Struthio camelus: one gene and its partner. The protein of the gene in region 1 interacts with the protein of each later gene in a pairwise test. Links are inferred from orthologs where the notes say so. Each region holds a gene or a part of one and is shown in the gene's direction. Other genes may lie near its edges. The genes, in order: LIN7A and PALS2.

Region 1 (16,183 bases):
GCTAGTAGGGCACAACTAACTGTACTTCTGTTAAGGGGAATTTCCTTGGCTGGGCAAAGAGATGCAACAAAAGGCGACTTCTTGTGACAGCAAACGGAGATGGTACCATAAAAAAGAGCTTTGCTACGAACAGAGAGCACTCTCTGCCCAGACAGACCCACTCCAATCACTAACTAGATGGGATAGTTCTCACTGCAGCAGCAGCAGCTAAGACAGGCCTGGAGAAAAATCAAATACTCATCAGTGTTTGATGATAGCTGTTAATGTGATTGGAGTGCTGCTTCAGTGGGCCTTGAGCATCATCTGTGGCAGCAGAGAAAGCAGGACAGAAGAGCCCTGTGACCTGATGTCAATCCCAGCAGCATTCATCTATTTAGAGAAAAGGTTAGATATAAACTGTTGACAATGCTGCAGCCATTAGAGTGGAAAAAAATTGAGAATTTGTTCTCTAGCCTGGAACGGAATATGGGTCAATTTGAAAGCAAATTTGATGGCTTTGAATGTGAATGAAGAGCAAATTTACCAGAATGGTGTCATCTGAGGGCTTTGAGCAGATGGACAGCAGCATGTGCTGAAGAATATTGTTAATTTAGTGCCAAGAGGAAATGTTCCTCTGAACATTAAAAGTATGCTATCCAAAAAATCACCCAAGGACCTTAAATCTGTACATTTCAGGTTTCCCTGAGGGCCTCCCATGAGGAAAATATTGTTTATGTCATTTAATTAAATTTTGAACTGAGTCACACACTTTTTTGCACTAGTTAACTCACTGAAGCAAGTAAGTTTACCATGTGAGTAAAGACAGTATATGCCCAGACATTTACTGTTTGCAAGACTAAGAGTCTTGCAGACTCCCAGGCTCATAGGAAATAAGACTTTAAACTACCTTTAGACAAACAAGTTTATCACAACATTGGGACTACATGCAGACATATCAGCATCCGTACACATCTAAAATACATCTATATAACCTACATGTGCCCTAAAGCTGGTCTCGCCTCCGGGGTACGCAATGGAGCGGAATATCTTAGCAAGTGCACCTAAGCGCATTGCAGTGATGAGATGTGCTTTAATTGTTCACAATGTTGCACTGATGAGCCCTGAAGAGATGCTGATTGGAGATACAGAGACGACCATTAAACTGCTTCTTAGACCAAGATAACTTGGTCGTATTTCCTGTTGGCTCTCTTGTCCTGCGAAGATCACGTTATTCAAAGTGATAATCAGTGGCCATGACATTCTCGTCCCCACAGTACTTAAACTATCATCTTTTATGAGCGTGTCACTGAAAAAAACAGGAAAGTTTCAGTACAATCATAATCTATCTCAACTAAAATTAAATTTATCTTTTCCCATTCTTTATGCAAAGCAGGACTAAAACAGAATTACTGCTTTCATCTCAGTCACAATACTGTTTCTCCAAGTCGTGAGTTTTTTTATTCTTCGTTGGTTTATTTGGCTTTTTCAATCCTCAAACTGACAAAACTGATTATCTACGCGGCTTCATCATGTAATCGGTGATTTCAGATAATACTGAAGCTTCATGTAAACACATTAGTTTTGCAAACAGCTTGCTTTTCTTCCGTTCCCAATTAAAATGTGTAAATACAAGCTAGACTTAAAAATGGCTTTTTAATCATATTTTAATGTTCATGGCTCAAAAAAATCACTTAAGGAATATACTAAAATCAGAGTTAATTACAACAACTCCTTAAAATCAAGGTCTCACCCATTTTCAGAGGCATACCAAAAAGTCACTTATCTCACATGAAAATGAACACTGGCCTTACAGATTCAGTAAATACAAGGCTGATAGCCAGCAATATCTGTTGCCCTGTTCACACTCCCAGATTAATTAGCCATGGCAATTTTATGGAATTGTGGTCTGTCCTTGCACTTTTTTCTCTAAATCAACATACTTCACACCACGCACTTCCTTGTAACTATCAGTATGAGCTCACCACTGGTTTCTAAAACCATTTGAAATGATATGTTCTGCTGTTTTAACATCCTCTACAGATAAGATTTTCAATTCTGTGACCACACATTCTCTGTTTTTTCTGTATATGAATGTTTTGATGCAAACAACAAAAAACCCAGCCAAGAATAATCAATAAACATATTCTCATGGACAAGTCTCTTTTTAACTCATATGGTTCTTGTTAGGAAATCACATTAACTCAAAAATTCCATCCAAAATGTATATTAATAGATTGGATATGGGAGGTAGGTGGACAATTCATGATGCTTATCTATGAGAGGTGCAATTTAGATGCAAAATGGTTGTGAGAATAATTAAAAACACTAGCTACAGTCTGTTGGTATTCATATACTATGAGTATGTTAAGACTGCAGGTATGGTGCTTGCAGACAAAGCCCCACTTGGCAGTAAACACACCAAATGAAGAGTTGTGGTCCCACAGAGAGTAATTTACACTTCCTCTCACAGGTTAACAGTACAGACAAACTTTGGGTAGAGACCACATCCTTAAAGCAGTCAAAGTAAGTAAGTCATGGTAAACGCTTCCTAAAACGTCCACGAGAAACAGATCCAAGTTTCAGGTATCAGGTATTTTGAATGGTTTTACACATCATGGGCTAAAGGTCTGATTTGTAACTGCTTTCGGACTGTTCTCTTGCCTGAAAGGGTGGGCCTTGTTCACCAAAGTGCAGCCCAGTACCCCAATCAGAAAACGTAAGCCTACTGACAACAGGGATGCTTTTCTTAGTCAGCTTTTGCAGTAGTTATTTTTAGAGAGGGTGCCTGGATTTGATAGGGTTCTATAGACTATAAGGTGAAACCCACAGCACTGAGTAGACTCTCCACCTGAATTTCAACAGAGTCTAAGGACAATCTTTCAGCAAGGCTCAATTCTTTTCTCACTGTAGGCCACTGGAGCTGAATCTTTACCAACGACGACAATAACAACAAAAGAAAAAAAGGAAAGAAAAAAGAAAAAAAAAGAACTATTTTTAAAGGCCAAATTGGTTTTAACGTTTGGGAAAATAGCAATTGCATTACCTACAAAATGTAAAACGGGTCCTGTAGGAAAGCATGGTACTACAATACAGTGCAGTACAGTGGAAAAGTACTGTACTATACAGAGGCATACTCCTATAGAACTTTCCAGCTCATCTAACATATTATTTAAGGTGGCATGGCTCTCCTCGGACAAAATGAACTGTACATGTGACTAATGCATATAATTCTCAGAAAGCACTAAATCACATTTCTTATGGGAAGCTGATGCACTTTTTTGCCCAATAAACAACCTGCTGCTAAACCATTAGATGTCTCAAATAGCAAGTTCTGCCATGGAAACAGCATGGAAATAACTGAAGGATTTTAAAAAGGAAGAATTCTTTCCCCTGTAGAGGCAAAATGCCACTCAAAAAACAAATTTCAATGGCTCCTGAGAGCCTTTTGAGAATTCATAGGCAGTATTACAACACTATTGGAAACTGCTTTTAGTTGCACTGAAGTACTAGGTGCAAGTGAAACTAGTGGTCAGCAGGAAAAAAAGAGAAAAGGCTGAATGTGTGCTCTGAATCAGTTCTAAGATATGATCTTGAAAGTTCTCTGTACCTGGAATCTGCACTGAAATAATCTGGAGTTCCATGCAAAGTTCAAACATGATAAAACCATTGTTGGACGGGGAACGACTGATACAGCTGGTCATCCTCCAAACAAAGAGTGTGATCCCCGGAGCCATCAAGTAGATACAAGAGCAATGAAATAACACATTGCATTTAACCAAAAGGGGCATAAACAAGATTTAATTAGATCATGAAATAAAATTCACCTATTTTGTAAACTTAGGGTGAAAGCGAGTGGCTGCCCCCCAAGCTCTCCAAAGTAAACCTGGCTGTGAACAGTCTTGCAGCAAACTGAAACCTCATGGGATATGTAAGTAGGAACCCAAAGGTAATTGCCCAAAGTAAAATTTAGTCATGACAAAACATTTAGTCCAAAGACTAATATAAAGAGCATAGCTAAAAGGCATAACACAGCGCTGGTAACCCAGACACAGACTGAGCTAGCCAATATGCTGTGACTTCTTGCCGCACACCTCTGCAGCCACCAGAAATAGCACTTCCACCTCTGATTTAGCTCTGTTTGAGGTGTCTCAGGGGAAAAAAATAGCTGCATTTACCACTGTATTCCAGTCACAGGGTGACAGCTTAGTTCCAGTGAATTAATTAGCCCGTACAACGCTTAGGACTAGTGAGATGCATTACTCTGGTAGCCAACTACTGTGTTCAGAGGTGTGTTGGGTTTTCCACATTCCACTGCACTGTGCTGTGTAGAAATAATTCTCTGGCCCTTGTAGCTCCAATTCCTGAGAGAAATCAGACAGTCACAGAAGTCATGAGAGTAATAGATCACAATCATTATCTCATCTAACCTCCTGAATACCTTTGCCATTCTACTCTTCCTTAGAAGTTAGATCAAAGCAAGCCTTTTTAAAAGACCTCTAATTTTTGCTAAGATTTCAAGCAACAGTGAATAATGGGACCTTGTGTTATCCTTATTGCTAGAAAAGTATGTCAGACTCAAGGCTGGATTTGTCAAACTCCCAGTCATGGGATCACCTTATGTCTTAAGACTATAAATTTAAAGACTATAAATCCCCGCACTATTGTGCCTCTTGCTTATACATAGACCTATACACAATGATTTAGTTCCTTTTCACGCTTCCCTTTGATAAGCATTCAGGTCTTTAAACCTTACATCAAAGTTTAGTCGCCATTTTGAAATGCAAACACCAGATCTGGACACAGGATTCCAGCAAGTTGCTTTATCAATGCTACGTACACAAGAAGGATCATTTCCCTAGTTCTATTTGTCACTCCTCTTCTTCATACTCCTATACCTAAGGATCCTATATTCAAGGATCACATTAGCCATTTTGACAACAGCGCACCAAGAATTTATGTTGAGACTGTTATGTAAGACCACCCCTTCCCAAAACAGGCTTCGATCTCACAAGTATCAATTGCATTCCTCAACACTTGCAGCTGCGTTAAAACACAATACTTTTGGACTGTAACCATTTAGTCCAGCTATTCCAGCAATTCTTACCAGTAGTTTGACCACTTTGTTACAGGATCATAGAATAATTTATGTTGGAAAGGACTTGAAGAACATCTAGTCTGACCTCCCGCTCAAAGCAGGGCTGACTTCACAGCTAGAGCAGGTTGCCCATGTCTTTGCCCCATCAGGTCTGAAAATCTCAAAGGATGGAGATTCTACAGCCTCTCTGGACAACCTGTCCCAAGGTTTACCCACTTTTATTGTGATTTATTTTTATATCATATCTTCCTTACTATTTCTCTGATGCATTATCTAAAAACAGCTACCAAAGCCTCTATGTCCACATTTTATATCTTTGATTAAAATAGCAAATAGCCAGAATGAATCTCCAGGCGATCTGTTAGAAATAGCTTTGTACACTGGCACCTGACCACTGCCTACATTTTGAAGATCTGCCAATAAACCAGATTCCAGTGCATATAATAGATACTCTGTTAATTCAGTATAGTTTCACCCATTCAGTAAACATCACGTGATATTAAATTAAAAGCTTCAATATAGCCCAAGGAATCAGCAAGAGGACTGAAGATCATAACAGTTGTTTCCATCTAGAAAGATCCACCTTCCAAGAAGGTAGGCTGATTGATACTAATTCTCTTTGACTACTAATTTGTATTGAAGTCTGCTTTTTCTCCTGGGAACAGACACTGGGAAACCAGAGCTACTTCACAGCTCTCTGGTTCATTCCCTCTCCCTTTTTCCAATTACGGAATTCTACTGGACAACTTCTGAAATCTTCCCAGTTCAGCAGCTTAAGGCACTCCTCAGCTTTAACATTCTTGGGCATTAGCTATGCAGCTATGCTGATTAGGAAATGTCTAATTTCAGCAAATGCTGCTTTTCATCTTCCTTGAGCACAGATAATACTCCCATTCAAATCCCTCATCCAAGTGCCAATTAGCCTCTGTGGCAGAGCATAGGAAATCTGACCAGCGGTAGATATAAAAGGGTGAACTCAGAATGAGCTTACCGCTTTCCACAGAAACCCTGCTCAGGCCCAAACATTGCTTTTTCTAAAGATCTAGCTTTAACAAGTTATCTATTTGGCATATGCATTACATATTTATTAATAGAAAAGTTCATGTCGTAATTGTATTTTGCTGCAAAATGTCTGTTCACAATATGGCAATTTAAAAGAACAAGTTGGAGGATTATAAAGTCCTGTATGAAAAACAACCTGATTGGCTAATTAGCTTGGCACTTTGCTTTTAATATTATTTAAACATACTTTTATGTCTGCAATAGACTTTTTTAAAGTGTCATAACAGTTTGAGAGTTGTCGCATTAGGCTGTTAAAGCTCCAAATGTGTACCTCTTCTCTGTTCAGGACTATGAATCCAATACACAGTAATGTGACTACTCAAGAGGAGCTGTTACACTTTATGTCAATCCAGCTGCTAGGCAAGTACATAAAATCTGCATAATAAAAATCCTTATGTTAATTTTGATTTATAAAATTGACTGCTTGCCAAAAATAGATTTTTTGACTTTAGTATTTTCACCAATTAAAACATTTTCTTGTCAAGCTATCCAAAGGGACAACTGTTTATTGTTTATTAATCAGAGAAATTTGTGTTGAATTCAGTCTAACAGAAGAAGTGGGTGGCTCATGTGTATTATTTAAATTTATCTAAGACTGCCAAATGTATTTTTAACCTGTTCTTAAAACTTCCAATGATAATACTTCCAGTTTCCCTAATTATCTACACCGGTGTTGAAATACCCTTGCAGGTAGAAAGCTTTTATTGATGTGCAGCCTCCCACTGCTGTATTTTTAAGTCCTCTCTGTTTTCTCAGGTCCCAGGGGATATGGGGAACAGAGTACTGCCTTCCTCTTTGGACTACGATTCCACCCAGTTTAAATGCTTCTTGGGCAAACAAAAATGCAGGTAGCAGACCAGGCAATGGTCTAACAGGATCTAATTCTTCACTCAGTCATTTCTGTACACCGTTGTCCACCCTGGGGAAGGCAGCAGCAACTCTGTGGCGCTCTGCCGTGCTCACAAACACCCCCTTTTCCAGCGAGGCAGGAGACGACATTCGCTGCCACTCCCTGGGGAGGCCAGGAGCACACGACCAGACGGCTGCCAGCAAGTCCCGCTGCGCTCACTGTACGAAACGCCACCTTCACCGACAGCCTCCGTCAAGCACATCGCAACTCATCGGCGTGCGCTGAGCGCGACGCGCCTGCGGCCACCTCTCTCTGCCAGTGCGAGGACTCAACCCCACGCGACGGAGACGCACGTCGACGCGTCTTATCAGAGGACTTTCATTTCCTGAGGGTGGCCCAGCTGCACTCAACGCTCAGGAAACTGGCCACCGCAGGACGGCGGACGAGGCTGACGAGTACGCCCGTCAAAAACCACCACTATGGTGGTGGACACGCCTCGGCAGACTTAAAACGGCGGTGCCCGTTGGCGCCAAGGCCCTGCCCATCCTGCCGGCAGCACCGCCATGCAGACCCACGACGCCGGCACAAACGCGCCCTCCTTCCCCTCGCCGGCTCCTCACCCCGGCGGCGGCACGGCACGGCACGGCCCACCCCAAACGAGCCCCGCTCCCCCCCCGCTCCCCTCCGCCAATGGGGCCGGCCCGGACCGCCCGCCTTCCCGCCGCCGGCCGTTGCGGCGCCCCTCCCGCCTGCGGCTCGTGACGAAGCCGTTAAGAACCGGCCTGCGGCGCCCTCGCCTCCCCCGCGCCGGCGGCCCGCCGGCTCCGCCCCGAGGCCAGCCCGAAGGAGGCGGGAGGCCTCCCGCCAGGCCCGGCCGGCTAGCCCGGCGATGCCGGTAGCCAGCGCCTCGCCTCGCCTGCTGCCGCGCGTCGCCCTCCCGCCGACACCCTCCTCCCCCTCCTCCGCCCCCTCTCCCCGCCCTTCCCCTCACTGCACGCCGGTGTCGGAGCCGCGCGTCACTCGGGCTCCAGCCCCGCCGCAGACATGGCGACACTGACAGCGGTCCAGCCGCTCACGCTGGACCGAGGTAAGCGCGGCTCCTGCCGCCGCGCCCGCCCGCCCCTGCCAGCCCGGGCGCCGGCCCGAGGGGCCATCCGCGGCGCAGAGAGCCGCACAGTTTCCCCCGGAGCCCCAGCGCGGCGGCGGCGGGCGTGCCGGGCGAGGCGGGTGGCGAGGAGGGAAGGCGTCTCCCCGCCGAGCCCGGCTCGCGGACGGGAGGAATAAAAACGGAGAAAATAAAAGTTTCTCCGGAGGTTGGGGGCGGGGGGGGGGGAAGAGGTTGCCCGTCCCGAGGAGCCGGGGTAGGGCCGGCATCCCGCGGGGGCGGGCTGCCCCCGAGCCGAGCCGTGCCTGCTGCCGGCGCCTGGGCGCTGACAGGGCGGCGGGGTGTGGGCAGCCTGGGCGCCTGCCTTGCTGCGGTGGCGGCTGCCCTTCTCTCCCGGCATCTGGAAGTTACAGGTTGTCGCGTTCCTAAAAAGATGTTCCTTTCCAGGTGCCACATGCTGCGTTTCGGGGGGTTGGTTGATGCGGGGGAGGGAGCGGCCAGGGCAGTTTCTGTCTCCGCCGCCGTTAGCGGCGGTACTGTGTAAAACAGTGCGTCTAGGTATTTGTGTGGATGAGTACTTGGTCCAGATATAGAGAGCAGGCTTGATGTTTTCCTAGCTTTAAGACACTGTCACTAACCTTATGGAGATGATGCCAGAGGGTACTGCGCTCCTGAGGTTACGTTGAAACTCAACTTCTGCCTCCAGGCTGTACAAATTGGACCTCTCAATGACTGTAGGTGTGTGCCTCTAAGAAGGCTCTGCAGAAACGTTACCAGATTTCTCTGGGTTACAGAGGAGAGTAACTTACCATCCTCATTTGTTTTGCTGCTTTGGCTGCACGAGTTAAAGAGGTCAAACAGCTCCCGACAGCGTTCTGAATTGCTGGGGCATCTTTCTTCCTAACTTGCATTTAGAGGCTCCCAGCATGCATAAGTCTTGGACTTCTGAATGCATGATTTAGGTCAACGTCTTGTCTTTCAAAATCTTCTTTCTGGAAGATTAAGAAGGGCTCTCAAAATAAGACAGAGAGCTCCTTGCTATGCAAAAGAAACCTGATGAGCTCAGTTTCAACATGATAAATTTTGATTTTTAGGCGACTTTATTGGAATTGAAGAGCAAAACACCTCATAAAGTATTCTAAATACAGTTTGCTGGATGGATTTGTGTAAATTCAAGCTTTGCTAGAAAAGAAACAACTATAGTTGTTATTTCTGAAATAACAAAGCGCTAGCATGCACTTTAAATTAAACTGCTCAGCAATCCACTGTGTAATCTACAGTTTCACCCTAATACTGTTTGCAGTAAGCAGGACAAATCTGTTTCCTGGCAAAGGGTTGAACAGATGGCAATCCATTAGGAAACCTGGCTTTTCAAAGAAAAGTATTACTATTTCAGAATTATGTATTCCTTTTCATTACTAAGACTAAGCTTTAACAAAGCCACAATACAGAAAATACAAATTAGTCCCAATTTAAATATAAACATCTGTCGTCCAGGATATGCCTAACCGTTTGGGTGGGGATGCCAACGTTGCAATCTCCCAGGTTGTCATACAGGGCTGATATTAGTATGAGGGAGATGCAGTATCACATGGTCATAGGATGTGACATGCGAAAGAAAAGTATAGACAAGTAGTGGATTTAAATACTGCACCTGACCTACAGAAGGCCATTTTATCAGAGGGATACATTTCACCTATCGCATGTTGCCGCTACATCAAGCGGAGAGGGTGGGCCGACATCTCAGAAGCAACTAGGTCAAGCCTAAATTTTCCAAAAATTTCCTCTGTAGTCTTTTCTCTCACGACCATGGAAGAAGGAAGGTGCTGCGTCGTGGGATTTCCCAGACTTCCATTGCTTTTATTAAAGCAGATGCAGCTATGTGTGTGATCACTCTGGTTTGCACAGCTCTAGTATGGTCTAGGCAAAGCCCTGAAAAGTCGTGGAGACCACGACGTGTATCCACTTTACCATGTCCAAAGAGAGTTCAATGCAGCAAGAAGAGAAGGTATATTCCGTGGAAGGATATAGCAATCGCCTTGCATTGCTGAGGGAGCTGTCTCTTGAACTCTGTCTCAGGGAGCATTCTTCTGCATTTCTCCCTGCTAAGGGTCACATACAAATGGTAAAACGTTGTAAAGAAACATAGATCAGAAATCTGAATTACGCTCTTACATTTTGTCCAGGATAAGACTACGAATATCGTGTGTTCGGCTAGGGCAATAGGAGCTTTCCTGAACCCTGACATAAATGGAATTTGAAATATGTATGTTAAAATTAATTACCATTTAAAGGTGAAGGGCATGTTATGTGTGAATGCTTGAAAGCCAATTACATTCTGGAAGATTACTTCTGTCCAAAGCACAGGAATTAATTTCCTTAATTCCTCTCATCATGTGCCTACCTACCTGCACAAATGTGTGCAACTTCCATTAGGGCTTTTTAATATGTGGAACAAGTTCACAAAATAATGGAAGTTTTAATCACTTAAAACTTAATCTCAAAGGCTTTTGCCTGAACTTTGTATGGTGCCCTGCTGGGAGCAGGGGAAGGAATCAGCAACTGTTCAAGAGGGTAAAGTAAGGCAGTAGAGTGATTTGTGGATACTTTCTTACGGTGGTTAGGGTAGATGGTGACTGTGTTTCAGAGCTTGGGAGGGGAAAGAGCCTGTATGCTGTGATTCTACCAATAGCCACGTAAGTCTTTTCCCTAAAAAATGTGCACCTATACTATCTTTATTGCAAAAAACTTACATCCTGAATCAGTACCACCCCGGTAGTAAATCCCAATGCCCTTCAGAGCAAAATGTGAGAATTTTCAGGCCAGCTCAGGGATGTTTTTAGAGCTTTTGAAGACCCTACCTTGTTCCAAACTGAGGCAAAAAGTTACAATGCTATGATTCATAAAATGACAAAGAAAAAGCATTTTAAAATTTCAGAACTTTTTTTTTTTTACTTCTTAATAAGGACTTTATTGACATTGTTTCTTCTTATAGATAGCTTTACTTTCAATTAACTGGCATTTTCCAACTATTTATGCTATTCGTATTCATGTATCACTTCTACTGCTGTATCTTGGAACCCGTTGTTCTATTTACTAGCCTGGCATCACTGTCTTTTCCTTTCCTCTCGATGACTTTCATGTTTCATACATGCAAACTTCTACCCACCCCATGAACAGCAGTTCCTGCCTTCCCCTTTCCTCCCCATAACCCCCTGCCTCCTTCATGTGCTCTGTCCCATTGCCCAACTCCTCACAAATTCTCAGCACAGTTAACTACATTACTACTTGCTTTTCCTGTAACCCTTACTCATTTTTACTGTTCAGCAACCTAATTTCCTCATCTAATGATCAGTTCCTTTGCTTTCCCATGACCCTTGCCACCTTACCAGCTTCATACTGCCAGAAATGGTGCATCTTCTACACACTGCAGCAGTGTTCTGCTCTTCAAGTGCACTGTCATCTATCCCAACCATCTTAGCTTGTTGGAGGTTCTCTAAGGACCTCCCATGAACTCTTGTGTGTCACCAGATACGCATTGTGAGCAATTAGAAACTGAAGGAAGCTTGCTGCGAATGTGAAGAGCTGAAAGGGTGTGTTAGCACAGGCTGATGGAAGCGTTTTCTGCAAACACCATTATGCTCTTGGAAATATATTGGGAGGTTCATTGCAGTAATTTTAGTGCTTCCCTTGGCACCCATGTGGAGTCCTGCACTTTGAAGTGCTTTCTAGCTGTGCATAATAGATGTTCTACTTTATCTGAACTTTCTTACTGTGCTAAACATCTAGCAAGTTTTTAATAAAGCTTACCTTACTTTAAATTTTATTTGTACTCTTCCTTCCAAAGATGGAAGTCTGCTCTTAAAGAAAACCAACCATTTATTTGCTCAGATTGCTGGAAAACCTCTGTCCCTGTTTCTCTTTGCATAGGAGCAGGATAAAGTGGCAGTTTATAAAAGAGCACTTTTCAAAAGTTCCTCTCATTTTTGAAGATATGAGATTAGATTGTGCTAAGACCACGCTGGGATTAAGAGCAAGAAAATATCTTTTTAGCATGTGGGGGGGAGGGGAGGCTTGACCATCTTTTGTTAATAATCCACGTCCAATTCCTTTTTTCCTTGTAATTAGTTACTAATCATACCACTGACAGTTACAGTCACGTGCTTGAAGAGGAAAGAACTTTGAATTGACTGAACATGCAGTGCTGATATCGAAGTGCTTATAAAACTTCACAACAAGGTCAGAGCTGTTGGATATACAGGAGGCAGATGGGGAACAATGTGAGATGGCTTTAGTTAAGATCACTTAGAGCATTAAAATAAACCAAAAACACTGACAACAGAATCTCTCTTGCTTTCAAAACAGTCCTAGGAAACCAGAAAGACTTCTTGTTGTTGAGCTAACACATAACTAATCTCTGTTGGTTCTGTTTGAATTCAGCTAAATACTTTTCCAATGGAATGGGTGTGCCAAAACTTACTGAAAATCTGTTATACAGCAAACATGTTCAGTGAAGGTAAATAGTAATAAGAGCATGCATGGAATTACCATCTGCTATAAGAGGTGGTAGACATACTCTATCAAATGTGATACTGGAGGACAGCTGACCATTAATGTACGTTGTTACTTGTCAAAGTACTCTTCCTTCCTTTCTTTTCTTCTCTTCATTTCATTTTTTTGGTCGTTATATTCTCGTAGCTTACCTAAGTGGGGACTTTCCCCTGTCTTTGCCCATATGTGTCTATAATAGAAATTATATTGAATATAAGTTGCTCTGAACTGTACGTATGTTAAACCATATATATTTGTCTTGGGAAAAATATATAAAGCACTAATCAGGAAGAGAAAACCCGAATCATGGAGTGTGAAATATACTTCTTGACAGAGGTGCAGAATAAGGCCAAATATCTTTTACACTGCAGTTAAGCTCTTCAAAACAGTGTTAAGCGGTTGTGCTGCTCCCTTTCATGACTTTCTACAAAGTATATCTATCCGTCATAGAGATTTCTTGTATTGCTCTTCAGGCTAGCATGTTAAAATAGTAAAAATATTTCTGCAAGAGCCACACACTTTAAATTTAACACTTCTCTGTATGATAAGCCAACTGATGACATACATATAAATAACCAAATTCATTCTTCCAAGAAAAAAAAAGGCTTATGTTTGAATCTGCAGGAACAGAAAAAGTGACAATTCTGGTGACAGACTGAAAAGCATTTTTTGTTTTACATCACTGTGTTAACACTTATTTCATTTTTAATTGTATTTTTATGAAGAGCTGGATTAAGGTGAGTGGATTGAGCTGGTGATTTATGGGTTATGAATGGGTATGTTTTTTGAAGATCTGTGCAATTTAAATGCTTATTAGTTAAGGATGCAGTTTAGTAGTGTCTCCTGTGGCCCTGTAGCTAGATAAGAGGAAATGGCTACTTAGATGTCATCTTTGATTATTTTGAGTAATGTAAAAATATGTAATTCGAAAAGTTGGATGCATATATCCAACTTAAATATCTCTGGTAGTACAAGCCTGAATTGAAAGAGGTACCGAGGTGTACGACTGTAAGAGTAATTCTGTGAAAAGCTGGAAGCACTTGAGTTAGGTAAGGTTTCCGCTGACATATATCAGTTTGTCTGGCTTTGCTGTTATAGAGATGACTCTGTCCTCCTGCCCAAAGCAGCTCATGATGTTATAGAAATGGCAATTGAGCTTAGTCACTGCACAGTAAATGAAAAGAAATGAAAGTTCATTGTATCATCTTCAATGTGCACCAGGCACAATTGACCTCTGGTTCTGCCTTTCTTCATAATGCTGTACCTCCGTGGTTAACACCACACAAACACATGGAAAGGTATTGAAAACTAGTGACGTTTTTTAACATTGTCACCTTTGAGAAGTATAGAGGGGCATATCAAACTTCCAGTCGTATTTACTTTAGAAGCGCAAAATCAATCATACTGTATATCTCTGTAGAAACTTTGTTCGCAGTAAGGAAATGTCTGTGAGACAAACCTTTGCTGAAACTAGGCAAACAGTGCCCGTGGTTAACAGATGTCTCTGCAGGGAGCTTGCATTCCTCTTGGTCTGTCAAGCTGCAAAAACTCTTTTGACACATTAGCCATGAAATAATCATTTTAGCCTATCTGAATTTATCCTGTGTAAAGCAAGGAGGCACACTGAACTTGCGTGTATGTATTCTGCTTCTCATTCTTCAAAAGCAACTTACTGCTGAAACTTGATGGAGTGGGTGGAGTCTTTGACAAGACTCTGAGCAAGTGCGCTAGTCACTGTTTGCGACAAGTTACAAGATCAGAGTGTTAATGATTAAGAAACATAAGGAATGCTTTTTTTGTGTGTAGCAAATATATACTCTCTCTTTCTATCTGCAGGTAATGTTAAAAGGGAAGGATTTGTTTTATAAATGACATGCCTGTGCTGGATCCTACCAACTTCAGTTTCACACTGATGTCTGAGAGACATTTGTGTAACTAAAGAAAAGAAAGGATTAGCCTCTTAATGTAATTGCAAGTAAACAATTTGCTTAACTCCATCCTGTCACTTGAGTTGGACCCCTCTAATGAAGTTACCAGACAGAAAATAAAAAAAATGTGACAAATTAGCGAAGCCATCCGCTTTGTGCAGAGGATAACTTGTCCTTTCAGTTACCTGTTTCTCAGCACATGCATGGACATCTCTCCTTAACGTGGATGACAAGTGCAAAGTGCAAAACAGCATACAGACAACCAAAAGCTTGTATTTGTAACTGAGATACAAAGGGATGCTCTTGTAAGTAACGCACTAGGATTTGCAATATGAATTAAGTAGAACTATTGATTTTAGTCACTTATTAGAAACATGATTAATTAGAAGTTAAGGATTTAAGAGAAACCCAAGCAAAGGCAAATAGTGTTTTGAAACCACTTAACTGACAATTTGTAAATCTGTCTTCCCTCATGCACGGTTAATTTGTTTCACATGGTAAATTTCATACACATTTGGCTTTTTAAAAATAAAACTTACTAATGTGCTGTGAACTGTACATGTAGGTATAAATCCAAGCGTTTTCAAGGTTAATCTAAGTCTGCTTAATCTTCTTTTGAGATATTTGCTGGAGATTCAGCCTCTGAATGGGAAACATTCCACTGCTAATTTTCTATTCAGATCAGAAGATTTGATCCAGAAATACACATTGACGTGCTAAAGCTGTTTTTCCGAGTATTTAAACAACAAGTTCAGATCTTAGGGACGTTAAATACAGAAGGAGATATAGGTACATATTTGAACTGGGATCTGAAACAGGCTAATTAAAAAAAACCAAACTTCTCAAATGTAGTTCTGCTGAATAACCAGGAAATGCATACTGCTCCTCATAATGAGTTGTTTGTTACCTTACTCAACAAATAATCCTAAAGAAAAGAGAAAAAACATTGATTAGAAAGCTTGGTTTCCAGAAGAGATCAGAGAATGATGGTTGTTTAAAATGTGGAACAAGGAAGTATGCACAAATAACCGGAGCATCAAAGCATTAATTTTTAATTGTGCCTGTATAAATATGGATTATTGTATAAGGAAGAGTATTGTTCTTTTTTCATTTCTTCTGAACCAAAATTTCATTTTTATTGGTTCTTTTTAATGGGAACCCAAGCTTAAATACTAATCCTCCATGTCCACTAACCCTTTAACTTTATTTTTAACTCTATTTTCTGAAAAAAAGGATAAATCCTAGATCTTAAGGTGTCAATCCCTTCACAGTCAGTTAAGTGCTGGGGAAGAACGCGCTCGAAGCAGATTAGCTGGATGACCATGGCCTAAATTAGACCATCAGCAACATTTTTAACCTTCAGAAATTTATTTACTGTCATCTCTTCACTTTTCCGTAGATACAGGAGAAGTGTTTTTGTCAAACACCACTAACTGCATCAGCACAGGTATAAAGGATAGTATGCTGTGTTCTTTGTTATACAAAGCCAGACCACAGAAACTTTTTCAGGGCATGATGGCCTTAAAATCTATGCACCTGTGGAAACAGTCTGTGGAAAAAGAGATTGTTTTACATGTATATCTCTTTCACTCCGTAGCCTGATAATCTCATAA
Region 2 (17,020 bases), on another chromosome or scaffold:
GTAATTAGACTTTAAATGGAGACATTTTATTACATGTGCTTACAGTCAATTTTTATTTCTTTTTAAGCTTGGTTTGCTCTAGTGGCTGTAATTGAATTTCTTTTAAATACTTTCAGGACTGACAGGCTCAAATCTGAAAATCACGGGATTGCAATCTTAAAAACATATGGAGACTGAATAGGAAACACAACCAGAAAGTTATGTAAGATCGACATTGGTGTAATAAATCATTAAATACTCTTTTCATGATGCTATACCTGCCTAAAATAAGAATTTGGTCCCTAAATGTGGTTGTAAGTAAAATGAGCCCTTTCTAAACTGCAAAATATCTTTTCAGCTTCTTTCCCCTCTCCAATCTGTATAATCGCCTCATATTTTCTCTTGACTCCCTCTTCTTTGTTTCCTCATTCAGGCAGAAAAAGTCTCCTCTGATGCTGCTGTCACTCTTGGCAAACAGACTTGTGGTCTTCTTTCAATGAGTTTGCCATGGCAGATAGCAGGGAACGGGTAGCAATGCCTGCTACTGATGATGATGACGATCTTTGAGATTTTCATTGGAGGCACAATCTTTTGATAGCATCCCAATGAACTGGACACATGAGCAGCAATGTACTTTGGCCAGAAAAGATTTGCAGCCAAAGAGTTCTGGAAAGGAGCTGTCTTTTGTAGCTGAAGCTACAAAAGCAGCTTCGGGAAGAGAGCCATGGAGTCCAAAGTTGCTAATACTGCTCATTTTTCTGTTGAAAGGGATAGTTCTTCCTGACCTAGGCTAACTATTAATTTTGCCCTGAAGCATGAGGATTCATAGTCTCTCTGGCAATACTTTTTGTAATGTGGAGAAGATTTTGTTAGGAAATGAACTGAGGTCTACTCATGTGGGCCACTAAGCCACGGCGTTTCTGATAGGCTTAGATTCACAAATGATTTGATTCCCCTGAGTTTATTTGAAGTTTTTAATTAAATTCTTTGCCTTTGTATTCTGATTTTATTGAATGTGACAAAGGTTTCCTGGGACTTGATTATTCTTTAAACTAAGGCCCCTTTATAGCCATCATGTAGTAAATGGATCTCCAAATGGGTGTAAATGACATCATTTTAGCAGTATAAAGGAAAACCATACGGAAACTTAGAATATATGTGGGTTTTTTTTTCCTAGAATTTCAGCTTTGTGTCTGTGGAGTGAAGATAGTCTGGTGAAATAGGGGAATTTCCACACTTTCTGTTAAGAAATTATTTTTGGATATGAATACCACTGAGCTATCTGTCAAGAGACCTGGAAAGTTTTGTTTTCAGAATTTTGCTGTGACTTCTCTTTCAGTGTGGAAACCTGTTAGAGGGAGACTGTGGAAAGGGAAAAATCTAAGAAATTTGCTAGCGGCCAGAAAAGACTTCAAAACATTCAAGTCTTCCTCCTGAAGCTGGTCCCTGTGCAGCCAAGAGTGCAAGGTTGCTGGGGCCAAAAGGAGAGCAAAAAAGGAGGATTATGGAACTATATCCAATTAATTATGGCACAGCTGAGCAACTATAGCCTGGATTTTGGTCCTCGCTCCCAGTAATATTTGAGATGCAGCATTTCACTGGATAAATCATAAATGCTAGAACTGTCTTCTCCCACCGTATAGTCACTTTTCCATGTGTTCTGCACATGAACTCATTGAGTCAGAATCATAGAGTAATTCAGTCATAGAGTGACTCAGGAGGTCCACTGTCCAATCTCCTGGTCAAAGAAGGGTCAGGGATGAGATGAGTCCAGGTTGCTCAGGGCTTTATCCACTTGGGTCTTGAAAAACTCCAAGGACGGAAACTGCACAACTTCTCTTGGCAACCTCTTCCATTGCTCGACTGCCCTGATGGTGAAAACGTTTTTCATTGTATCCAGTCTGAAATTCTCTTGTTTTGATGTATGTCCTCTGTTGCTCATCCTCCTGAAATGCCCTGCTATGAAGCCTGGCTCCAGCTCCTTGATAACCTTCCAGAAGACACTGCCAGGCTGATGTTAGGTCCCCCCAAAGACATCTCTTCTCCCAGCTGAACAAGCCCAGATCGCTCAGCCTCTCTTCACCAGACAAGTGCTCCAGCCCGTGACCATCTTGGTGTCCCACTGCTGAATTCACTCCAGTTTATAAATGCCTTTCTGGTACTGGGGTTCTCAAAACTGGATGCACAATTCTAGATGTGATCTAAGGAGTACCAGGTAAAGGAGAATAATAATCTACTGGCTTTCCTCTTTTTAATGCAGCCCCAGATGCTGTTGACCTTCTTTGCTGCCAGAGGACATTCCTAGTTCATGTTCAGCTTGCTGTATACAGACATCTCCAGGGGCTTTTTCACAGATCTGCTCTGCAGCCAGGCAATCTCCAGCCTGGATTGGTGCAAGCACCTAATCCACCCCAGGTGCAAGTCTCTGCATTTTTCCATGATGAATTTCTTGTGGCTCCTGTTGGCCCATTCCTCCAGCCTGTCTGGGTTGCTCTGCCCTCCAGCATATCAGCTGCACCCCCCAGCTTGGTTTCATCTGCAAGCAGCACTCTGTCGCCTCCTCCAGGTCATTGACAAGGATGTTAAACAGGACAGGCTCCAGGACAGACCCCTGTGGTACTCCACTTGTTACTGGCCTCCAGGTACAGTAGGGCCCATTAACTCTGAACCTCTGAACCCTTGATCACCCAACCAGCTGTTTACCCATCTACTTTTCCATCCCTCCAAACTGTCTGAACCTTGATACAAGAATGTAGTGGGAGACAGTGTCAAAAACCTTGCTAAAGACTTAAATATTTCAAGCCTTGCCGAAGTCTTAACAACTACTGCTGTCTCCTCCTTCATAAATTCAGTCATTTTATCATAAAAGGCAATCAAGCTGGTCAGGCTTGATTTACCCTTGGTAAATCCATGCTAACTGTTTCCGGTCATCTTTTCCTTCATGTGCTCAGAAATGTATTCCAAAAGGACTTGCTCCATGATTTTCTCAGGAACTTAATTGAGACTATCCAGCTGGTAGTTTCCTGGATCATCCTTTTGGCTTGCTCTGCAGCTGAGTGCAAAATTTGCCTTTTCCAGTTGTTGGGGACCTCCTCCAATCTCCATGACTTTTCAAAGAGGATAGAGAGTGGCCTTGTAAGGACATTAGCCAGCTCTCTCTGCACCCTCAGATGCAGCCCATCCGGCCCCATGGGTTGTATGGGTTGAGTTCTCACAAGTAATCCCTGACTTTGTCCTCACCCACTGCTGGTGGCTCTCCTCCTTGCACACAGGCCTGGGAGACCCGGTCAGTGAAGAATGAGGCAAAGGCGGCATTGAGTACGTCAGACTTACTTGGCTATGTTGTCACTAAATCACCTACTCCATTCAGGAACAGATGCGTTTTCATTGTTTGGCCTTATGGATCTTTGTGCCTAACTCTGTATTCTGGATTTTAGTTTGTAGACAGTAGATACTTTACTAAATCTGTCCCTGAAATCTGAGGAGTAAATATAAATTTTATTTTTTCTTCAGTTTCCTTCAGTTGAGTGCTCTAACAGCTCATGGCCATGTAGTCTAGGGAGAGAAATGAGTTGCATGTTCTTTATATAAGAATAATTGGCATATTCATACCTGTGAAGAAAGTTTGAGATAGTCCTGTAAGCTCCTCCCATGTTTTCTTGATTTTCTTCTTATTTAACTCAAATCTCAAGATGGAGGTGAGGTGGTGGCTGGGATTTTTTTTGCTCCAAACAGTATGTGGACTGAGAGTTGAGAATGGACATAGGTTGTGCACAGGGGAAAAGAATAGGTCACCTGAGAATAATTAGTGCATTTAAAATAAATATATATGAGGTAGGAGTCAAGGAAGTGCCTACTTGTTGTGTCTGAGGTATTGCTCATAGAGAGGGAGTTCTTTTTGGAATATGATTTTTCAAAAGATGCTATTCTGCTATTGTGCTTTTTCTATCTTGCAAGGAGAAAAAAAAAGCCTTGTAAAAAGTATCACATTCATATATAGAATATAAATTTTGCAGAAGAAATAGCAAAATATTTTCAGTTGCAGCTAATATCATTTCTCTGATGCACACACTGAAGGAAAATAAAATTCAAGTATACAGACAGAACACCTACAACAATATGTTCAGGCAATTAAAGAAAATGAACAGTACTTCTAAAATGAAATATTCCAAACACATGTCATTTCAGCTTCTAGCTAAGATCAGCTGGTTTGGGACCATGTCTTTCTGCCTAAGCCACTAGTGAGAAGCAAATTCCATAACATTACTGACCTAACCAGAGGGCAATGTGCATTTGCAACCTGCAACCTCTTAATCGATACCGTCCTTGTGTCCAGTCAGTGCCTGCTATTTTTGAGCTGGACCACCAGTCACAGGTGGAAGACTTTTTCAGGCAGTAATATACTTAGGAAATTATGTTCAAGGAAATATTTTTTTGACAAACTCGAGTGTTGTAATTCTAAAACAATGGACCTGACAGGGAAGAGGAGCAGAAGGGGCGTAAGAAAACAGTGCTCTTTTCTCTATCTGGCCAAGTACAGCCCCTGTTCTCTGATAATGGTAAAAGCTTGCTGCTTCAGAAGGCCGTACCTCTGCTCCCCAATAATGACCTTGCTAATTGTGTAGTGTTGTATATAGTGGAAAGATTTTTCTTGACCCCGCAGGGAACTAGTGCTGTGAAGCATGAGATTTGATTAGCCTTATTATCTTAGTTTGCCCGGTTACCAATGTTGTAAGCTGCCATGAAATTATCCATCCCTTTTAAAAATAAAGCCATATTATTTGTCTTTATTATCTCCTCCTTTGGAGTTGAATTCCGCATGCAAACATACCTCAGTAATGAAAACAGCACAGGGACTTAGATGTACAGCCTTTTAACTCTAAAGGTATAGTCCCCTTTTATTTTTTCGTACTGCCTTTCCATGTAAATCAACATTCTCCTAATTACTATGTTTTCAATCAAATCCCCTCCACCCCACAGAAGAGGAAACAATTTTTATTCTACCCTCAATATTTGTAATCATTTGTGTGATCTTCTAATGAGTTCCTATGGGATAGCTTGGAAACTTGTGCAGTTTCTTATGAAATGCATTTTATAGATCTTGTTGTTTTTTGCTGGATCTTTTGGCATATCAGGAACTATGTCTTGTGTAGAGATGTGAATTCATATTATATACCAAAGAAAAACTCCTAGCTGATTCCTTTGGCACAAAGAACCTCATAAAAAAAAATCTCACCGCTTTGATGACAAAGAGAAGCTATAGTCGTAAGATCCCAAATTGTGACAAACACAGCAAAGAGGCTGAGGCTGTATTGTCTATAACTTACCATGCGATGAGGACAACATATTTTAGGGACTATCAAATAGAGAAGTAGTCTGATATTCCAGCTACGTGAAGAGCGATCATAACTGAATATCCAAGTTAGATACAGGTAAACTAAAGTACACAGAACACTGCGCTTGCAGAGTACGCTGGCAATCAGCTGAAAGCATAACCTCATCCTCACTCCTATAACACGTGCAAGGCGTGTCTGCTCCTTCACCCAGTCAACATCAGCTAGGAGCCCTACCAAAGATGAAAGACTTCGGAGACAGACATCTACCATGCTACTACTAGCACCAGCAGAGAGCTATCCTGGCATTAGCAGTCCTAGTCTCTGCAGTTTTATGGAGAGAAGCATTACGCTTCATTGTAAAAGGCACCATTTGTCTGAGCGCGATCCGTATCGTCAGAGTTTCAAAGGCAGAGTTCAGATCTCTGCAGAGTCATTAACTCTAGCTCAAGTGAATCCTCATCAGCACAAAAGCAGGAGGGCCGGGGTGGACCTACCTCACAACTTTCTATAGTCTCTCTGAATCCTGTAGCTAGACAGAGACTGAGATAATCCCTGGCATAAAGCAACTCAGCGTTGGCACTATTCTAACTCACGCCTGGCTGCGCACGACCACTAGCCAGAAACTGCTGGGGCATAATTCGGCCTTGGCCAGGTCCCCATTTTCTCTGCCCTAAACTGGGAACAGGTGAGGCTTGGCTAAAGTACGGTAATTCCCTGCTAAATGGAGAGATTTACAGTTGTTTTGCGCAGCAGGAATGATACAAAGCTATCAGATTGGACTGCTCTACCACGGTCCTAAGGACCGTCGTTGGGTAGGGGATTGTTGTTATGAGCGGCACGTGAACGTAAGCAATAAAAAGCCAAAATGATATGATAATTCCTGCCAGAGGGTAAACATCATTTTCTAAATTCTGTTCTAAAACTATTCATTTATGTTCCTTTCTTGACCCTAATGGGTCAAATGGACTAAGTATTGGGCAAGAAGTAGTGTGTGAGCATTTGGGACACATTCCCTACAGGGCTTTAATAGCCAAATAGCAGCTGCCGAGGCCAGAATGGAAGACATTCAAAAAAGCTGTGGAGCAGTCAAAATTCTTGTGTTTAGATATTTCTCTTACAGCCAAAAACGGGCTCTCGTGTTTCACAGGCTTGGATTCAAGCTTTGAGTTGAATTGTAATAAGGAACCTCTGAGCGTTGCAGTAAAATGATTTTCTTTCATTGGCCATGAAGGTAAAGTCAGGATATCATTAAAAGTGCCAGCATAAATTGCTACAACCCTTTCTCCTTAATAGAATAATTTTCAGCCTCCTCAAATACAGGGATCGTAACAGAAAAAATCAACAAGATGTTGAGTTGTGTAATACAGAATAAGATGACAGTTATGCATTCTGTGGCCCTGGTTCAAAAGGTTTTCCATTAAAACATCACAAAAAATAAATGAGAGGTAAAGAAGAGAGAATGATCTGGAGTTATTTTTTGGGGTGTGAGGCTTTCTATGCCTGTCAGTTTTTTCATTGGTTTGAAGACCAAAAAGAAGATAGTTCATTACTTAGCTTAGAATCCTTAACAACATGCTGTTTCTTTTCAGTTTAACAGGGAAAAGATACCTGCTTGTGAAGGAAATTAACAAAAATACGTTTAATTTGCACCTTTTAACTGAGAGATTGTAAGAGGATCGTAAGCTCTTTGGACCTGAGGACACAAACTCCCATGCCCTTGTGAAGCTCCCACCACAGTGGCTTTGGTCTGAGCAGAGCCCATGGTAGCTACCGTAACTCAAAAAGCAAATAATAATAATTCGTAAAGGAATTTTATATGCTGGCTCCCTAAGATGAAGACACAAAGATCTTATTTACTTAATATGTCTTTATTGGTCAATTTGAAAAAGGTTTTTTAGTTGCCAGCTGCTGTTCCACGGCTTCTTTAATTATGCCCACCATGCATGTTTCTTTTGACCTCCTTGGTGGTATAAAAATCGCCTTATTTGTTAGCTGGTATGAAAGCACAACTTGAACCCACTAAAATGAAAATCAATTCCTGATGGGTTTTCTGTTCAAATGAACTATACCCCCACATAGCTCTGGCTTTTCCTTCTCCTCAACAGCTTGCACAGCAAAAGCCAGCGTGAACTGCAGCAAGCTATTATTAAGGGTTACCGTATGTTACAGCAGGCTATCACGTATTCATAATTAAGTACATTACCGCCAAACTGTATGCTTGGATTTAAAAATTTTGGAAGGTCAGTAAAAGAAGGCAGAAGTGAATGAAAACAATCTGAGGAATGAAATATTGTTTGGGATTGAATGTTTTCTTTTATGGGGCAAATTTTACTCTCACATAGACACTCCAGCTCCAGTGAGACTTGTGCATGCAAGACTCAGTATTTGCAACTCAGATTTCGTTAAGTCCGAGAGCATCCAAAGGTGAAAGCCTCTGCAAAGCCAAGTAAAAGCAAAAAGTGGAATTGTTAGTCTATTATGGCTGTTCAAAACAAATAAAATGCAAAAAGTGAACGGTGATCAAAAGTGCAGGAAAATCACTTTTGCAACATTGTTTCCATCTCAGTGGTCTTGGATGTTATTAGTTGCAGGAGACAATTTTTTGTTCTCTCTTTTAAATATTTGATTTATCCTTCGTCAGTGTTTCGCGCACTCAGTGACTAAATACACAGTGCAAAGTGAAATGCTGGTGTGACCCCTTGTGACTTTGACCAGGGGAGAGTTCAAAACCTGCCCTGGCAAACAGTCACATCAAACCCAGTCAGAGGGTACATGTGCCCCGCACAACAGCAGGGACACATGCACCCTGTCTCTCACACACACAGAGTCCCCCCCCCCCCTCCACTCCACCTCATTCCCTCTCACACACACACCCTCTCTCACTTACCCCCTCCTTTCATACCCCCACCCTCACACATACACTCCCTCTCTCACCCCCCACAGTCCCTCTCACACACACCCTGTCTCACACACATGTGCTCTCACACCCCGCCTCTCACACGCCCCCATCCCCTCTCACACCCCCCCTCCCTTACACACACACATACCCTTTCACACTCCTCTCTCACACACACTCCCTCTCACACACACTCCCTCACACTCCTCTCTCCCACACACACACTCCCTCTCACACACACCCCTCTCACATACCCCCCACATACCCCCCTCACACACAGCCCCTCCCTAATACACACACACACTCCCTAACACACACACACTCCCTCACACTCCTCTCTCTCTCACACACACACACACTCCCTCTCACACACACCCTCTCCCACATACCCCCACACCCCCTCTCACTCACACTCCCTGTCACACGCACACCCCCTCTCCCATCCCCCTCTCACACACACACACCCTCTCATACTCCCCTCTCTCACACCCCCCCAACTCCTCTTTCTCACACATACACCCCCTCTCACACACACATCCTCCCCCCCACCCCTCTCAATACACATGCCTTCTCACACACCCCCTCCCTCTCACACACCCCCTCCCTCTCACACACCCCCTCTCCCTCACACCCACCCACCCTCTCTCGCACACACACACACGCACCCCCCACAGCCCCTCCCTCACAGTCACACACACCCTCCCTCTGGCACACGCCCTCTCATACACACACGCCCCCTCACGCTGTCACATACACACACTTGCTCGCTCTCACACGCTCCCTCACAAACACAGGCGTTGTCACCCGTCCTGTCACGAACGCTCCTCTCTCACAACCACACTCCCCTCTGGGACACACACACACACACACACACACACACACACACACACACACACACACACACACACACACACACACACACGGGGCGGGGCCCGGGGCGGGGCAGGCGGGGGGGGGGCGAGGCTGAGGCGCGCGCGCCCCCTCACGCGCCCGGCCGTTTAGCTCTAGGAGGTGGGGGCGGTGCTTGCGCGCCATCGCCGCGGAGGCCGCGCGCGCGCGCGCCGCGGAGGCCGGGGGCGGGGGGGGTTGGGGGAGCGGAGGAGGAGCGGGAACGCGTGCTACAGCCACCCCGGCGGCGCGCGCCGAGGCGAGCGCAGAGCGGCAGGAGCGGGGGAAGCGGCGGCGGTGGCTCGCGCGCCCCGTCCTCCAACGGCCGGCTCGCGCGCCCGAGTTCGTAGATGGGGCTGAGCGGCGCCCGCTGAGGAGGGGACGGGGAGCGGGAGCCGGTGCCAGCCGGTGAGTTGCGGTAGCGGAGAGGCGGGCGGGGGGGGGAGGAGGAGGAGGAGGGTCTGCCCGCACGCCGGCGGGAAGCGGCGTCCTGCGGCCATGCCGGCGGAGACCCCTTGCTGGGCGGCCGCGAGCGGGGCGGCCGCCCAGGCGCCCCGTGTGCGTGTGGTGTGAGGGGGGAAGAGCCGCCCGCACACAGGTACCGGCGCCGGGCGGGCCTGCAGGGCACCGAACATGGCAGCGCCCGAGTCGGGGAAAAGGGATTTTTGCCCCCAGAAGGAGGATTAACCCTCCTCCTCCCGCCTCTGGGTGCGTCCCCGGGAGACTCGCTCTTCATCTGCTGCTTCGGATTATCTACCCGCCCACCCTCCTTCCCCCACCCCCTTCCCGGTATTTTCTCTCCTCCTGGAGATTATCAGATTTCCCGCCCCTCCCTCCCGGGATCCTCCGCCTCCCCCCTTCTCCGAGGGGATTATCCCCTCCCTTCGCTGTCGGATTATTTCCCCCGCTTCGCCTGCCTTCCCTCCCTCCCTCCCCGATTGTGCCCCTCCGCAGCCTCGCCTCTCGGGGATTATCTGCTCCCCCTTTGGGATGCTTCCTCCTCTCTTGATCTCTGCCCTGGCCTTTCCCTGGTTATTTTCCTCCCGGGGAAGTCATCCCTCCCCTTCCGTCTGCCTCTGATTGGGAAAAGGGGAGAAAATGTGGTTGTAATCGGGTGGGCAGGAGTTTGCAACAGTGCTATCACCTCCTTAGGCTCTGTACCAGTACTGCAAGCAAGTGGAGGTAGGGCAGTGGGAGAGGCACCAAGGGAGGTGGTGGGCTTGTGGCAGAGGTCAGCCTGCGGTGCTGTTGCGCCGTATTCAGGAAAATGTATGCCCCCTTTCTAGGGTGTTTAAACTGTTGATGGAGATGCTGGTGAAAGAGAACCTGTCTGAATATGTCTGGAACCGTAGAGCACACGTGCATGGCTGGGTAGCGGATATCAACTCTTAACCAGAAACTGCATTGGAAAAAAAACCCAACAAACACCCGCTCTCCAGTTGAGAAACATACAATGTACAGTAGTAACACTAAAGTGTAAGTGGGAAGGTATGTGGATGACATTGCTGCTGTCCAGGGGTCAGAGCTGACTTGGATAGCTTCTGTCTTGGCTTTCAAGACAGTTGGCTTAGTCTGTTTCTCTGTGGTGAGAAGGAAGGAGGCAGGTATCTTTTGCTAAGGCTCTGATGCTTATGTGGTTCAACGCTATCGACATGCTGGCAGAGGAAAAATGAGTTTGTTCCTAAGGAGCAGAGATAAGGTTTATCCCATGTATTTGGCTCCTGTGTGGGTTAGACCATTCTCTTCCTCTTATTCCCAGTTTTATTGCACATGGGATTGCTGGAAGAGAGCTGCAGAGCTTCTGACCGGCTTGCCGCACAGGGCCCGAGATTACATCCATTAAACTTCTCCTGACTTGGCTTTTGGGAGGAGGAGGGGCTGTGAGAAATTGTAGAGAGGCTAGGCAGCTATAAATAGACGTCAGACTAGAGGAGGCTTTGAACAAACCTTAGCATGCTGCTTCTGAACAGATAGTGTCTGTTAAACTGGTTGAGTTGACAGTAGCATCATAATGTTTCCTTTTATTTCTGCTGTGGTGGTTGGCTTTTAACACTTTGCCATGTGACTGGACCGTGCAACATCTGTTACAAATTCTTATCAAAAATGCCATGGAGAAAATTCTCATTTAAATAACATGCTGGTAATTGGAGGCTAGATTGAGCTAATTTTAAGTGATTTTTTTAGAGGACTCTTCAGAGAAATCTTTAATTTCCTCTTTCCTTCCTTGAAATGTTTGGAATTGATGATCTTGCTCTCCTTATTTTGTTCTCTGAGTCTAGGTATTGCACTATATAGATTACCTGGGATCCATATTTTTCTGAAAAATCTGCAATACTGAGGCATGGTGTCATTATAAGGCTGGTATCTTTGTTAGCTTTCAATCTCCTCGTCTTTTCTAGATGAGACACTACTTTTTTTTTTTTTTTAATGGAACCTTCAGCATCTGTGTGAAAGTGTGTATGTTCAGCTTCTTTGAATTCTATGTGCTTGCATTTGTTTCAGATCCTGCAAATCACTGCTGTTTCTGCCTCTGTTGTCAAGAACTACTTAATATGGAAGTTATTGACAAATATACCATAGCAGCTATTTGGAGCCGTATCTGTTCTGCTGCTATATTAGTGGACTAACTGTGCATACCAGAAAACTCCAAAATGATTGAAAAGCTGTTGCAGCATATGTGCAACTGGACCTTTCTTGAACTGCTTCTTGTGGTTGTTGTTTTTTTTTTTTTTTTAATAAATAATGGCAGCTATTAAGTTAAATCATGACTTAGTCACATATGGTTTTTTAAGTAAAACAGAAATAATGAAGGAAGTGAAAACATGCTTAGCTAATATGAAAGTGTCTTAAGGAAGCTACAGAGAGAATGAATCTAATGAATCTCTGAGAGTCATTTTTTTAGATGCTTCTTATTAAAAGCATAACATTTTTAGTCAAACTTTTTTTCCCTAAATTACTGTACATGAAAACCTCAGGAACCAGAAAGGAGCAGAAATCTAGATGATATAACTTGCTACTTTTGGCATCTTTAATTGATGTTTAGCCAGAGTAAAAGCAGGAAAATCAAATATCCTACCAAATAATTTGGCAGGCTTTATTCTGGGCTGTTAAGGATGTGATCTGAGCATTGTCCTCAAACATATAACTTCTTCAATCAGGACCAAGTTCCAATGTGATGTTACTTCCTAGTGGTGGGTATTCTACAAAGTGCATATATGAACAAAGGTTGATGATCTGGGGAAGACTTTATAGTACCATAACGGCAGACCACAGAGCCTTCAGTATGAATCTATTACTACAGTTACTCAATCACTGGATCATACTTTTTTTCCTAAATATGTTTATTTGTAAAAATTACTTAACGCTTTTAATGCAATCTTAACACAGCTTGGTGTCCTGCTTTAAATGCATGCTTTCTGCTGTAGTTGTAAGTGATATGCCCTCTTGTGTTCTGTGTTTAAAGTAAAAATGGGGAAAAATTGACTTGTCTTAGTTTGGAGCGCTGAGGTAGTGATTGTGCTTAGATCAAGAAGAGTATTTGCTTCAGAAGGATACCATAGAACAGACAAAAGGGTTCTCAACAGTGCCTACATCTCAGGCTTGCTTTTTGCTATTTGTTTGTTTGTTTGTTTACTTGTTTTAGCTGACCTTGAGTGAGATGGTCATGTTTGATGTTTGTTATGAGGAAAGGAGAGCCAATAGATAAATTGAGTTGAGGGGAGAAACCTGCCTTAGTAACAGTATGCATTAAAGAGTATGTGTTCTATAAACTCAGTGCTGAGGACAGCTGGAATGGGTATGGCCTTGTGCATGGCAGGAAAAACTGAATTTTTAGAAACATCATAGAGGTGGAGCAGGGCAGACAGTATTGGAATTATTTGTGTGGAAATGTGAAGCAGAATATGATCACAGGCTAAAGAGTGAGTCTACTGGGGAAAGCGGTTATAGTGTCCGCCACAACAGAAGTTCCTAAAGGGTTCCGGGGGGGAAAAAGCGAGTTTTGTTCAGGCTGACATTTGAAAGGCACGCTAAAATACAGATGTGCAGGTGACAAATACTTTTAGAGGAGCATAATGCTTTGTTTTCATTGACGTGAGGGTGTTAATGTGACTGTTCGTTATCACAAGTTAAGTAGTAGGGGACATTGATAAAAGATTTTAGTTAAGTGCATACTAGCTAGGAGAAGGCGGTGCCAAATAGCTGGACCAGTCGGTGTTTTGGGCTAGTTTAGAACAGTTATGACTAAAATCTTTTTTTATCTGAGTTCAACAAAATATTAGAATAATGGTTTAGTGTCAGTTTGGTGGGGAGGAGTTAAGATCACTTTTAAGTTTAGGATTTATTTGATTCCCTGGTCATTACTACTAACCATCTGCAGTAGTTCTCAGGTTACACTACAGCAAAACTGTTGGCTTTTGTAATGGAATAAACAAAGCATTGTGATACTAATGTGCTGTCCTGTGGTTTGAAAAACAGCTTTTTTCAGAATAAAGCAAGCTTGAATTATTTGCTTATGGGTGGTGTCTAAAAATGATCAAATATCTTACAAGAATGATGGAGACATTTGACTTGCTGATGGGGAGGTGGGGAGAGGTATTTTTCCCTGTCAAAATACTTACATTCTTATTTTGTATTATTTAGCATCTTTAGAATGATGGTGAGTTATTTCACAAACTTTATTTAATAATAAAAATGCAGATTTGAAAATGGGAGGTTCTACACTTTTATTTATCATCTTTTTAGTTTAAAAATTTTTATATATTGAGAATGTTTCATATTAGCAACTATTCTATGTGTTTTAAGCAAATCATTTATTTAAAGAAATCATTCTAATGTTAGTATGCAGGTTTCATGAAAGCATGGTAGAAACTAGTAAAATATTGAAATTAGATGACTTGTTCAGATTTATTGACAACAGATGTTATTCAGTAAGTTATTTAGATATCTTATTTTAAAGGTATTGACTGGTTTTGCGTTCTGACAAGCATCTGTCTGAGAATAGGGACAGAATGATATCTATGCTGATTGTAGAAAATGCCAGCGATTTCCACACACACTTTGGAAAAAAATGAAAGGAAACCCTCCCCCCCCACCCCCCCATCTTGCACTACTATATTGCTCTTATGACTTCTGCTTATCTGAGCCTCAAAGGATTAAACCAGTTTTTCAGTTAAATTCTCTTTTCCAGTAGGTGGAGACATAGCTGTTGACTTCAAGCAAGCTTAAGCTTTTACTTTTTTGATTCCAAATGTTTTGTTAAAATACTGTTAAAATAATGCCCGCTAAGAGGTAAGAAAAGTAGTTTAACTTCTTAAGTTTTGTCCATTTAAGCCTCTTTGAGATAGTGTTGCCATTCAAGTATTAATTCTCTTGTGAGAGTGACTACTCAGATACTTTGTTTTTAGCATCTCAATTAAAGCTTTGTCTCACCCACTAGTCAAATGTGATTTAATGAAAAGTTAAAGTGATATCACTTTAAATGCCTAGATACAATGTAGAAGGAAATAAATTGAGTAGAATAGAGTAAAGCTTTTTCTTAGGGCTAATAATATAATGTGAGGGAGCACTGAAGTAAATTCCGCAAGGGAATGAAAGAAAAATACACTAGCCGTTCTATATTATTACTTTCTTTATATATTTAGCTACATAATTTTATGTTCATTTATTTGTTACCAGTTTAAATTTCCGAGATATGCAAGTAAGGAGCATATGAGAGTTTTTTGTATGCTCTGCATATAAAATGTCTTAACAGCTGTTTATGTGACATTTATTTATTTATTTATTTTTAATACGTCAGTGTGACAATTGGTAAGTAAGCATTTATATACCTTCTTATTAAAATTCCTCCCCATACCTTTCCTAATTCACTGTTGAAGTTTACAGAAGTCTCTTTGGAAAGATGAAACTGCTTATATAGCAGAAGTTGTGAAACTGAGAAGACAAACTGCAGTCTAGTGGATGAAACGGTTGAAAAGTTTCTTTTGCCTTTCTAAGCAATTCCGGCTTTGTCAACTATTGCATTGTAGCAAAATACAGTGTTGCTGGATAGATTTACTTGAATGATATTAAATTTACAATAGTCATACTGCTTCTTAAAACTTATTTTGCATTTTTCAGGTCAGTGGACCTGTAGGAGGAGGAGGTGTAATTAGCAAGTTCAGTGTATGTGTTCATTGGTGAAGAACACTTGGGCAGAGAGAAATTGTTAAGTGAAACTTAACGTTTGTAGAATGTATGACTGGAGGAAAGGCATCTGAATGCAAGTCATGCAGATATTCAGTTGCTCTCCCCAGATCATGTAGTTTTGCTGCTTATGCTAGATTTGGTAAGCAATGGCAGAATGGGACAAACAGCACTTTGGTCAGTTCTGATCAGTGTAGCTCTTCTATATAGATTCTGTATAGTCTTTGAGCAACATCCAGAAGCACGTTACTCAATGTAATTGGCATTTGTCATATGTGATCCTACCCCTGAGGCTAAATTCTTACTTTGTGTGGTGTGCTGTGTGAGATATTCAAACTTATCCGTGAAGTGAAAAGCTGGTGATATTTGGGCTGGTTCTGTGATGTTTGTTTCATTGTTTCATAGCTTTCTCCAGGGTGGTCCAGTTGCTGCATAGATAAAAGTTAATTTTGCCATGGACCTATTGTGTGAGAAATTGTCCATTTTATTTTTCTGATATTAGTACTATGATAATCCCATAGGTGTCTTGGCTCAAGACTGCTAATATGGACCCACTGCTTTGGAATCACTGTTCTACAGGAAGCGAGATGAACCGATAGCCAGTGTTACTGGGTTTCAAACAGCTCTTCTGTAACGTTAGTTGGTTACGTAGAGCTAATGACTGTACTTGAATTGCTAGCTGAAGGTTGAGGACCCTCATCTTTCCCCTGCTGCACGCAGGGGTCGTGTCCGTTTCATGTTGCCGTTGGTAGAAGAGAGAAAAGTCTTTGCAGCCTCAAGGACAGAAAGACAGGCAGGGAATGCACCAGAAGAAACTTTAGGAAATGGTAGGAAAACACTGGAGGGTTGGCTGTTGTATTTTCTCCTAATTTTTACACCTAATTAGGTAGGGGCGTGGAAGATGTAGGTCTTAGGGATCAAGACGTTATTAGAAATCTCAGCTCTAAGAGTGGGAGAGAAACTGAATGTTTGTGTAGGTGAGAAGGGGAGAGGCTCTGAGGTGCTGAAAGGTGTAGAAAGGCTTTTTTTTTTTTTTTTTTAAGGTTCTGAGTGTCGGTATGAAAGCTTTAAACAGAACCCTCTTGTTTCTCAGTAGAAATTTAGCTAGAATACTCCCTCTAGTGGTTACAGTATGAAATCTAAAATGGAGAAATCTTCGTTGAAGTCATTGTTGTTGCTCTGGCTGATGAAGCGACTTAGTATCCAGCTATTTTTGTACAAGCGCCTGCTTACTTAGCTGTGTACAGTGATAAGCCAAAGTCAGTGCTACTTAACAAGTAAGTAACTAAATAAATAAGAAACCACTGTAGCTAAATTTCATAGATTCAGAAATCTTAACTAGGTTACAAAAATGATTTTCCCATCCAGTAGTCTATAGCTTGGGGAAGTCAATGCAGTCAATTTGCTGAAACTTTTTTTTATTGTCTACTGGAAGCATGCAAGTTTACTGTCGAAGGTAATTTATTAGGTACATTTATTAGGAAGTTATTAGGTAACTGACGCTTATGGATTTATTTGCCAAATCTTGGCATATAGCTCTGTAAACATACATAGCCTAACTAAACAGTTGCAGAACAAAGTCCTTCCAAGTTTACCGTATGGTTCTCAGTCTTAGGTTGGATTCCATGATATTGCAGTTCAGGAAAGCTGTTCAGCAACGGTGAAATGTAACAGTAAAACTGCTGAGCTGGGATCTTGAGAAGGAATTACTGGCTTGGTACTAATCAATGCGAAATGG

What was found.
Region 2: the proteins of LIN7A (region 1) and PALS2 interact in binary tests that used the Homo sapiens proteins (3 or more experiments, as listed by UniProt). The link is inferred for Struthio camelus from reciprocal best matches to the Homo sapiens genes LIN7A and PALS2.

Annotation. Positions count from the first base shown.
Region 1 is NC_090942.1:45,805,393-45,821,575, reverse strand, and holds the start of LIN7A (protein lin-7 homolog A), read left to right. Parts: upstream 1-7,744; 5' UTR 7,745-8,030; coding exon 8,031-8,073; intron 8,074-16,183. UniProt on the Homo sapiens protein: Plays a role in establishing and maintaining the asymmetric distribution of channels and receptors at the plasma membrane of polarized cells.
Region 2 is NC_090943.1:37,876,039-37,893,058, forward strand, and holds the start of PALS2 (protein PALS2), read left to right. Parts: upstream 1-9,283; 5' UTR 9,284-9,507; intron 9,508-17,020.